Arabidopsis thaliana: one gene and its partner. The protein of the gene in region 1 interacts with the protein of each later gene in a pairwise test. Each region holds a gene or a part of one and is shown in the gene's direction. Other genes may lie near its edges. The genes, in order: AT5G62950 and AT1G06790.

The links.
Region 2: the proteins of AT5G62950 (region 1) and AT1G06790 interact in a two-hybrid assay, tested with the Arabidopsis thaliana proteins (one large-scale study listed by BioGRID).

Annotation. Positions count from the first base shown.
Region 1 is NC_003076.8:25,261,665-25,265,869, reverse strand, and holds AT5G62950 (RNA polymerase II, Rpb4, core protein), read left to right. Parts: upstream 1-1,816; 5' UTR 1,817-2,499; exon of another isoform or gene 2,500-2,715; 5' UTR 2,716-2,836; coding exon 2,837-2,844; intron 2,845-2,922; coding exon 2,923-3,040; intron 3,041-3,119; coding exon 3,120-3,272; coding exon of another isoform or gene 3,273-3,347; exon of another isoform or gene 3,348-3,374; coding exon 3,375-3,515; 3' UTR 3,516-3,691; downstream 3,692-4,205.
Region 2 is NC_003070.9:2,085,395-2,090,258, forward strand, and holds AT1G06790 (RNA polymerase Rpb7 N-terminal domain-containing protein), read left to right. Parts: upstream 1-1,787; 5' UTR 1,788-1,970; intron 1,971-2,248; 5' UTR 2,249-2,250; coding exon 2,251-2,361; intron 2,362-2,464; coding exon 2,465-2,560; intron 2,561-2,907; coding exon 2,908-2,995; intron 2,996-3,166; coding exon 3,167-3,251; intron 3,252-3,371; coding exon 3,372-3,441; intron 3,442-3,525; coding exon 3,526-3,615; coding exon of another isoform or gene 3,616-3,645; exon of another isoform or gene 3,646-3,818; coding exon 3,819-3,893; 3' UTR 3,894-4,053; downstream 4,054-4,864. Other genes in the region: GAUT6 (galacturonosyltransferase 6), read left to right, coding at 1-188, 322-843, 1,184-1,459; PLA-I{gamma}1 (alpha/beta-Hydrolases superfamily protein), read right to left, coding at 4,144-4,393, 4,752-4,864.

The DNA of each region.
Region 1 (4,205 bases):
TTAAAACAAAATAAGAGAATGAGTTTGGTACCTGCCATGGGTTCACAAATTTCTTGCAAGACTGCAGAAAAAAAAAGAAACAAAGAAACAAAAGAAGAAGCAAAAAAATGTTGAATAAACCAAAAAGATGATGTTTATATAACAAACCAAAATATATATTGAAATGTGTAAGAAAATATAAGTACATGTAATTTGAGATTTAAGAAAGGGTGGAAAGCATGAGGAGCTTTAAAGGCAATGAGAGGAGCCTTGCCAAATTGGGGTTTTTAAAAAAGGCAGTTAGTTAGCTTAGCTTACATGTTTCAAGTGCTTTTTTCTCCAAAGCAAGAATCATGTGTCCTAATTCCTTTAATTTGCTTAAAACTGAATTGATTTTTATTCTTAAGAAATAAGAGTTAGGTTTGTATTGGTATATTTGTCGTTCATCGAGACGCCGCATAAAAAATGATACAATATATAAAAATTGATTTTCAAAAAGTTTACAAGACTCTTCTTAAACATACAAAATTTTGACATATATTTTAAACAAAAAACTAGATTTTAACCCGCGGTATACCGCGGGACGATTTATTTTTTAAAGGTAATATATATTAAAACTTGCAAATTGTATTATAATAATATATATATATATATATTTTACAGTTTACAATTGTTATTAAGAAAGCTATACCACGAGTCCATGAGACAATTGTTAAAAAACTGAAGTTTTAACTCTTATTAAAACATCATATTAATAATATTTTAAATTTTTATAAATATTGATTCAAATACATCCACCATATAACTCTATTCCAAAATAAAACCCGTTCTGTAATTTCTTTACTCGTCCCGTGATTTTTTTTTGAAAGTAGTAATTTTTAAAATATTAAGAATTATTTATTATATATAAAAGTTTGCAAATTATGACCCAATACTCAGTAGAAAATTGTCTTAAATCTATTTTTGACCCGTTATAGTATTTTTCATGTCTTGAACAGTTTATATTCGTTTTTAAAAATTCAAATTATGGCATATGCGAAAAAAATCTAATTATTTTTTATAACGATGATATTATTTTTTCGCAAAAATATAATCATATAAAGATAAGAGGTGAACTATAATAATTAATAAAAAATTAATATGATAATTTAGATATCAAATCTAATTTGTTGATTTTAATTGGTTACTTTTTAAAAAAATTAATAATGTATTTCGTTTTTTAATTAAATTTAATTAATTAAATTAGTATTTAACTTTTTAATATTTAAAGAGATGAATTAATTTACTCTTTAAATTTTATTTCTAATGGCATACCTATGTAATTACTTACAAAAAATAAGATTACATTTAAAATGTACTTCCCAAATAATATAGTAGGATTATGATTATTTCACCTTAGTTATTTATGAAGTTACTTCTTAGAAAGATTTCAAACTATTTATGTTACATGTAAGTTTTTTTTTAAAATCATATTTTTCGGAAATTATAACATATTTTTTGCAAAGTGTAAATGCAAACGCACAGACAACAAGTCAAGCGTTTGGCATAGTTTAAAAATAACTAAGCAAACGCTAAACACACAACAATTCAAGCATTGGGACATGTATTTGGGCTTATAACCCATCAAGCTGAAGAGGGCCGTGGATGCAATAACACATAAATGTTCTTTATGGGATAAACAGGCCCAGCTTAAGTTTATTTTTTGGTCTCTAGGGTTTTACTTTTGACAATAACGACGTCGTTCTACCGATTCATTCACCGCCACCGTCTGGAGCAAATCGTGGTCTCAATCTCCGTCTGAATCATACCTCGAAGGAGCTCCTCTAATTAGGGATGTTAATATGGGCTTATAATTTAGGGCCGGCCCGAGTCTGTTAAAAGATATAAGCCCTAACCCTAATAAAAGATTTTAGGTTAAGATAGGGCTATACTTAAATTGTTACGGGCTAAAATAGGGTTGGCCCTATTACACTTTTTTAATTATTCTTTATTCCATTTTTTTTATCTTTCTTTCTTCTTCTTTCTCCCAAACGCTCTTCTTCTTCGATCTCTTTTTTTTTTTTTTTATTACTTCTCTGAAGCCATAAGAGTTGAAGAATTCAAAGGATTGATCTGACTATAAACAGAAACTTCCAGAGCTTGGTGAAGGAGCAGCCACCCTAACTTTTCAATCCCTAAAGGTGAAGTTTTTGTTCTTCTTTTTCTTTGATTCTACTCTTTTTTTTGTCACCATAGCGAAATAGCGATCTGGGTTGGCGTTTTTATCGACGGATTTTGGTGGGTTCGTGTTAGATTTTGGTGGGTTTGAGTTGGTGTTAGATTTTGGTGGGTTTGGGTTCGTATTAGATTTTACTTTTACAGATTCATGTATGTGTTTGATCTTAATTAGTAGCTTTGGTAATACTCAAATCCAACTAGTAATTGATCTTAATTACGTGACGTTGATATTTTGTGTGTTGTGAGTCAATCAGCGAGCTACTTCTAGTATTTGAACTAATCCTTTCCGTCAAAGAAGAGAAGGTACTTATTTTCTTCCCTTAAATTGGTCATTATTTTTGATCGAATCCAAGGGTTTCACTTTAAGCTTTGATTCATATTAAGGTGCTTAGTACTGAACGTGACCTAAATATTTTCGATTTAGAAACGTTATTGATGTTGATGTTCCCATTGCATCATGATTTGTGGGAACGAGAATCATCTGTTCCTTGATGTTGATGTTCCCATTGAATTTTTCAGGAGCAAAAACTCTGATTTTGGAGCATCGTTAGTGTTGTTCTCTTCCCATATTGTTAAAACGACTTCGTTTGGTTGAAGAAAAAGCTTCCTGTGGTTGAAGTCTCTCTGCTCAACCTAAGAGATGAAAATGTATCATCCATCTTCCATTGTGTTTTTGTTCGATTCCTTCTCTATTTTTGTAGTTAAAATTTGGTGTGGTTGTTGCAGAGTCAAGGCAAATGCAGGAGCACTGACCAATTTCGAAGTGCTTGACTTTCTTAACTCGAGAGGTGCATCAAAAGATACTACAAGAGTTATAGCTCCAATTGCTAGATCAGAATACAAGGTTCTCTTGCCTGCAATATCTCTCTTCTGATTTGGTCTTAAGAGTGCACTTTTGTTGCTAATTGGAATGATCTTTATAGGTCTATGATTATTTGGTGGAGACTGCTGCTTCCACTCAAACACGAGAGAGCATTAACAAATTCGCAGACAAGTGTAAAGATTTCAAACTCGCTAAAGCTGAGATTCTCAATATCATCAATCTCCGGCCTTCTTCTATAGTCGAACTGTTACCGGTTTGTTTGTTGTTTCTAGCTTATACACTACCATTTCTATCACTGCATTTAATTTCTCTTCTTCATGGTTTATAACATTTGTTGATTGTGACTCTCTTGTAGATCATAGAGAACCTGGATGATCGAGAAATCGACACTGATGGGATATTAGAGCTTGTGAAGGATTTGTTACCTCCTCTGCCTACAACTGCAAGTCCTAAAGATGATGATGAAGAAGAAACAGAGAATGGTGAACAGTCGTGACGTGCTAATGAAGTTGTTGAGTTTATGTTTTGATTTTGTAACCATCCTCTTAAACGCTTATTAACTAGATTGAGTTTGTTATCTTTTAAGTTAAGAAGATAATCGATCGAACAATTTACGTCCATTCATTAACAAAGAAAAAAAAAACAGGTCCATACTAAATGATTTAAACTTTAAAATATAGAGGTACGACCCACAAAAGTGTAGAGGAATATGTTCTATAATTATACTAAAGGAGAATAATACAACTTATTTAATATACTTTTCTTGTCGAATATTATTTCAAATTTCGTTGGATAAGCATAAGGTTTGACATCTTGATATTGAGCAAAAATAGGTATCTCAACCTTTATGAAAGCATATGTAATCCATTCCATTGTTTCACTGAGCTATAATGATAAATATATGGTAGAAATATTCAAATTCCGCATACATATGGTTGAGTTGAAGCATAATCAGAATAACATTCAAGAAGAAATACATAGACAGAATTTTGAATATAATACTCTTGTAGTGTTTGTGATCTCAATTAGACATGGTTTATGTTCATTAGTGTGCTGGTTCAGTCGTGATCCCGGTAAAGGAAGATCATTTTCTTTGATCAGTTGGTTTGGAAGTGATTTATTTCGGTTTGGGTAAAACCAAGTTGTTAGGAAGTTTTAAATTTTTGTTTTCTGATATGCTTCTTTT
Region 2 (4,864 bases), on another chromosome or scaffold:
CCACCCCAAAAGGGCTTCACTGTCTCTCAATGCGGCTGACATCAGAATACTTTTCACTGGATCCTGAAAAAAGGCAGATGCCTAACCAGCAAAATTATTTTGACGCTAATTTCAATCATTATGTTGTCTTCTCTGACAATGTTTTGGCTTCTTCAGTCGTTGTTAACTCTACGATATCTTCATCAAAGGTATCATGCATTTCTTATACAAATTTCTACTTGGTTATCATTATATGTTATACCTAATTTTAGAGTGTCTTACACTATATCTTCTCATTTACTTCCGCCACTTATTAATGTGGCTTCTGATTGCTGTTTGCAGGAGCCAGAAAGAATAGTCTTCCATGTCGTGACTGATTCACTTAATTACCCAGCAATCTCAATGTGGTTTCTGCTAAACATTCAAAGTAAAGCTACTATCCAAATCCTAAACATTGATGATATGGATGTCCTGCCTAGAGATTATGATCAATTACTGATGAAGCAAAACTCTAATGACCCAAGATTCATTTCTACACTCAATCACGCACGCTTCTATCTCCCGGATATATTCCCGGGTTTGAACAAGATGGTACTCTTGGACCATGATGTAGTTGTTCAAAGAGATTTAAGTAGACTGTGGAGCATTGATATGAAAGGAAAGGTGGTTGGAGCTGTAGAGACTTGTCTTGAAGGTGAATCTTCATTTCGATCAATGAGCACATTTATTAATTTCTCAGACACATGGGTCGCTGGGAAATTTAGTCCTAGAGCTTGCACATGGGCTTTCGGGATGAATCTAATTGATCTCGAAGAATGGAGAATACGGAAGTTGACTTCTACATACATAAAATACTTCAACCTGGTACGCTATATACACACACACACTCTACTGCACTTGCTCTCCCTATGGAAATAACACTGTAGCCATATTCAAAGTTTTCAAATGGGTTCTTAGATTTGTTGATTCGTCATTATATATGAAAAAGATTGTAATAATTATTAGGTTTTAGGTTGGCTATATCGAGGATGAAAGGTTTTGAATTTAGAACACAAATAACATTGCTGTAACTAGCAAAGAACATAAGCAAGCTAGTGCTAAAGATCATCTCCTAGAAGAAGAATGGTTACAAGCAACAACATATCTTGTCTATGTAATGGGCGTAAACCTAACAATGGTTTTGGGGAATTTGTTTTTTTGGCAGGGAACAAAGAGACCATTGTGGAAAGCTGGGAGCTTACCAATAGGTTGGTTGACTTTCTATAGGCAAACATTAGCATTGGACAAGAGATGGCATGTGATGGGGTTAGGTCGCGAATCAGGAGTCAAAGCGGTTGACATCGAACAAGCGGCAGTTATACACTACGATGGGGTCATGAAGCCGTGGTTGGACATTGGAAAAGAGAATTACAAACGTTACTGGAACATACACGTCCCTTACCATCACACCTACTTGCAACAGTGCAATCTTCAAGCTTGATACGAAAAAAAAAAAAAAAAAATCTGGCAACTTAGGTTCAGTTTCAGATTCTTTTTGTTAAACAAGCTACTCAAGCATGATATCAATGTTATGATTAGCTTCATTCTTTATCCCACATCAGTGTATATCTTGGTTCTTCTTTTTTCACACTTTTCATCAGAGCTTAATATTACTTAGACTATAGTGACAGGCTGACAGCAACAGATTGTTGTCATACCTTGGACTTGGCCCAATTTCCTTTTTTGGCCCACCGGTATGAATAAAAAGAGTGCGGTTTTCAGTTCGGTTCGGTTTATAAGCGTAACGATGACAAACCGATCGGTTTGTTTTAATTCTTGACTTTAATAACTAAACCCTAAATCGTTCTTCTTCTTCCGCATCTTCCTCACTCGATTAGTAGGTTCTCTCTTCTTCCAATCTATTCCCAACTTCTCACTTTTCCGTCTAATCGTTGTCTTCATCACCATCTCTCCGAGTTCCCTTCGAGACCATCTTATCTTCAATGGTTTAGGTATTGCCCGATTTTAGATAGTTTTGTTCTCTCGTATAGTTATGACAATGGCAGATTTTTGTACGCTCTGCACATGCTTAATCTTGAGGATTGGGCTATTATTACGTACTATGATTTAATGAATTTTAGATTTGAATTTTGGAACTTTTGATGATATGCATGTTAATGACCAAGAATGCTCCGAATTTGTCTGATTCGTTATTCGAATTCTACTTCTTTGATTGTTTGTTTCCAATTTTCCATGCATCTGACTTGTGAATTTTGAACAAAATTTTCAGAAATGTTTTATCTTAGCGAGCTAGAACATTCACTAAGAGTGCCTCCGCATCTACTTAATCTCCCTCTCGAAGATGCCATTAAGTCAGTGCTTCAAAATGTGTTCTTGGACAAGGTTTGCTCATTGCCCTTTTTCTTTCACTTTTATGGTATCCATTGTTTGCTTATTTATATACACACCTGGCTAATTTTATCAAAGTGGATTTTTGCTATGAAAGGTTTTAGCTGATTTGGGGCTTTGTGTATCTATTTACGACATTAAATCAGTAGAAGGAGGGTTTGTGTTACCCGGTGATGGTGCTGCGACCTATAAGGTATATCCAAATTGCTGATCTTTTCTCATCTCTATTCTTTTATCAGTTGAACATGGTTTTTTATATCAATTTTATGGCCTCCCAATGTCACTGTTAGTGGCATCATTGTTGACCTATCACCGTGTATTGCACACTTTCTGCACTGTATTGAGTTACATCTTTGTAGACTCATCATTACCGTACTAGAGTTTCAAACCATTCTGAGATTTTGGTTCTTCGGAATCGTTATCTGTTAGTCTAACTTTCACTGTACGGTTTTGGTTAAGAATTTTATTTTCAAAAGTTTTATCTTGCCTTGATTCAATATCTCATGTCGTGTTGTTAATACTTTGTTTGTGTGATTGTAGGTAGGTCTTAGAATTGTTGTGTTCCGTCCATTTGTTGGTGAGGTCATAGCTGCAAAGTTCAAAGAATCTGACGCCAATGGCTTGCGCTGTGAGTACTTTATTATACTGTTCCCTGAAGAATTCCAATGTTGTGCACTGTCTGCATCCTGCTACTCTAGTACATTGTTAGCTTATTAGCTACTTATGAATTGGATTAATACTTTGAAATCATGGATATGGTTAATCATTTACATGCTTACGGTACCTCTATACTTGGCAGTAACACTTGGATTCTTTGACGATATTTATGTGCCTGCTCCACTTATGCCGAAACCCAACCGCTGTGAGCCTGACCCTTATAATAGGTAAGAATATGTGTCCTGCAGTTTATGTAGTACTACCAGCTCTCCAACTATGAGTAGGAGATTGCACCAACATCTTTATATATCATTTGATCACAAAGTATAATGTTTTTTGGTTCACAGGAAGCAAATGATATGGGTGTGGGAATATGGAGAACCGAAAGAAGACTATATTGTTGACGATGCCTGTCAGGTGAATTTTTGGTTCCTGCATGTATCTTTAAGCATAATTATCTGAATGTGGTATGTTTTTATAACGAGGCATTGTAAATGGCAGATCAAGTTTCGAGTAGAGAGCATCAGCTATCCATCAGTTCCAACTGAGCGAGCAGAGGACGCAAAGCCTTTTGCTCCAATGGTGGTCACTGTAAGTTCATTCATCAAACTCATTCTCTGAAACTTTTCCACTTGTATATGCATTATAAACAACGCTAGTTAAGTAAGGTCAGATAAGCCTCCTGATTCCCTCCTCTCTTATAGATACTTAACTTTTATTTTGAGACACCATGATTTTTTGTTTTGGTTTTCCTACGTCGGTCCAGTGGTCAATCAATCTTGTGTACTGCGCAGGGGAATATGGATGATGATGGTTTGGGTCCTGTTTCTTGGTGGGATTCTTATGAACAGGTTGATCAAGAAGAGTGAGTGACCGAAACAGGTGGGATTCTTATGAACAGGTTGATCAAGAAGGGTGAGAGACCGAGACTTAGTCTAGGCATTGTCAGATGAAATTTTAACAGATGATGATCAAGCCAGTTTTGATGAAAACTTAAAATTTATTTTAAACTATGCACGGGTTTTCACTAAGATAGGGACGTTCAATTTTGTTTATCTGTAATGTAAAAAGGCAATGACACAAATTAGGAAGATTAAAAACCAAAAAAAAATCGATAAATTACAAGAGTTGTGATGGATGATGGAGTTGGGTGAGGAGTTGATGTATGTCAGGAGCATGTTGATCATCTGCACGGATGCGATCAGGTTGAATCCAACGGCCGTCAGTGTTCCTCACCATCCCTTTGTTTGCGTCTTGGCGCCAATAAGGAGGGACCATGAAATGGTCTTTCAAAAAATCAGATGCTTTGTTCACTAACGCTGGATCTCTCCCACTTGATAACACAAATCTCTGTCCTTTCCCATGATACCTATGTTTTTTTAAACAATAATCCAGATTCATCAACTCATACTAATACTATTATGCTCTAAACGACAAATTTATTTCCTAGTAGTTTTCGATAATTAAATTCTCTCCAACCTACCCATGAAAGAAAGAAGTGCCACGTAAATCAGATTACTAAATGACCCCATTATTCTCCATTCGGCATTTGATGAGGCAATAATGTTTACCAAATTTTTGAAAATCGTATTAATAAAGAAATGGTGTTGGAAAATGTGGACATTGAGATCTGTCTCCTCAAAGGCTTTTGACTTGTCAAAATATTAGCTGGAAATCTTAAAATTACTTTTTAAAGTAAAAAAGTAATAAAAAGAAGAATGACTGACCCGTCAAGGAGATGGAGGAGAGCTTCCAAGTTATGAGCCGTAGAAAGATCAACGGTGGGCTTAAGGAACGGAGACTTCTGATGATCCAACGGCAGCATTTCTCCCACGTGGCT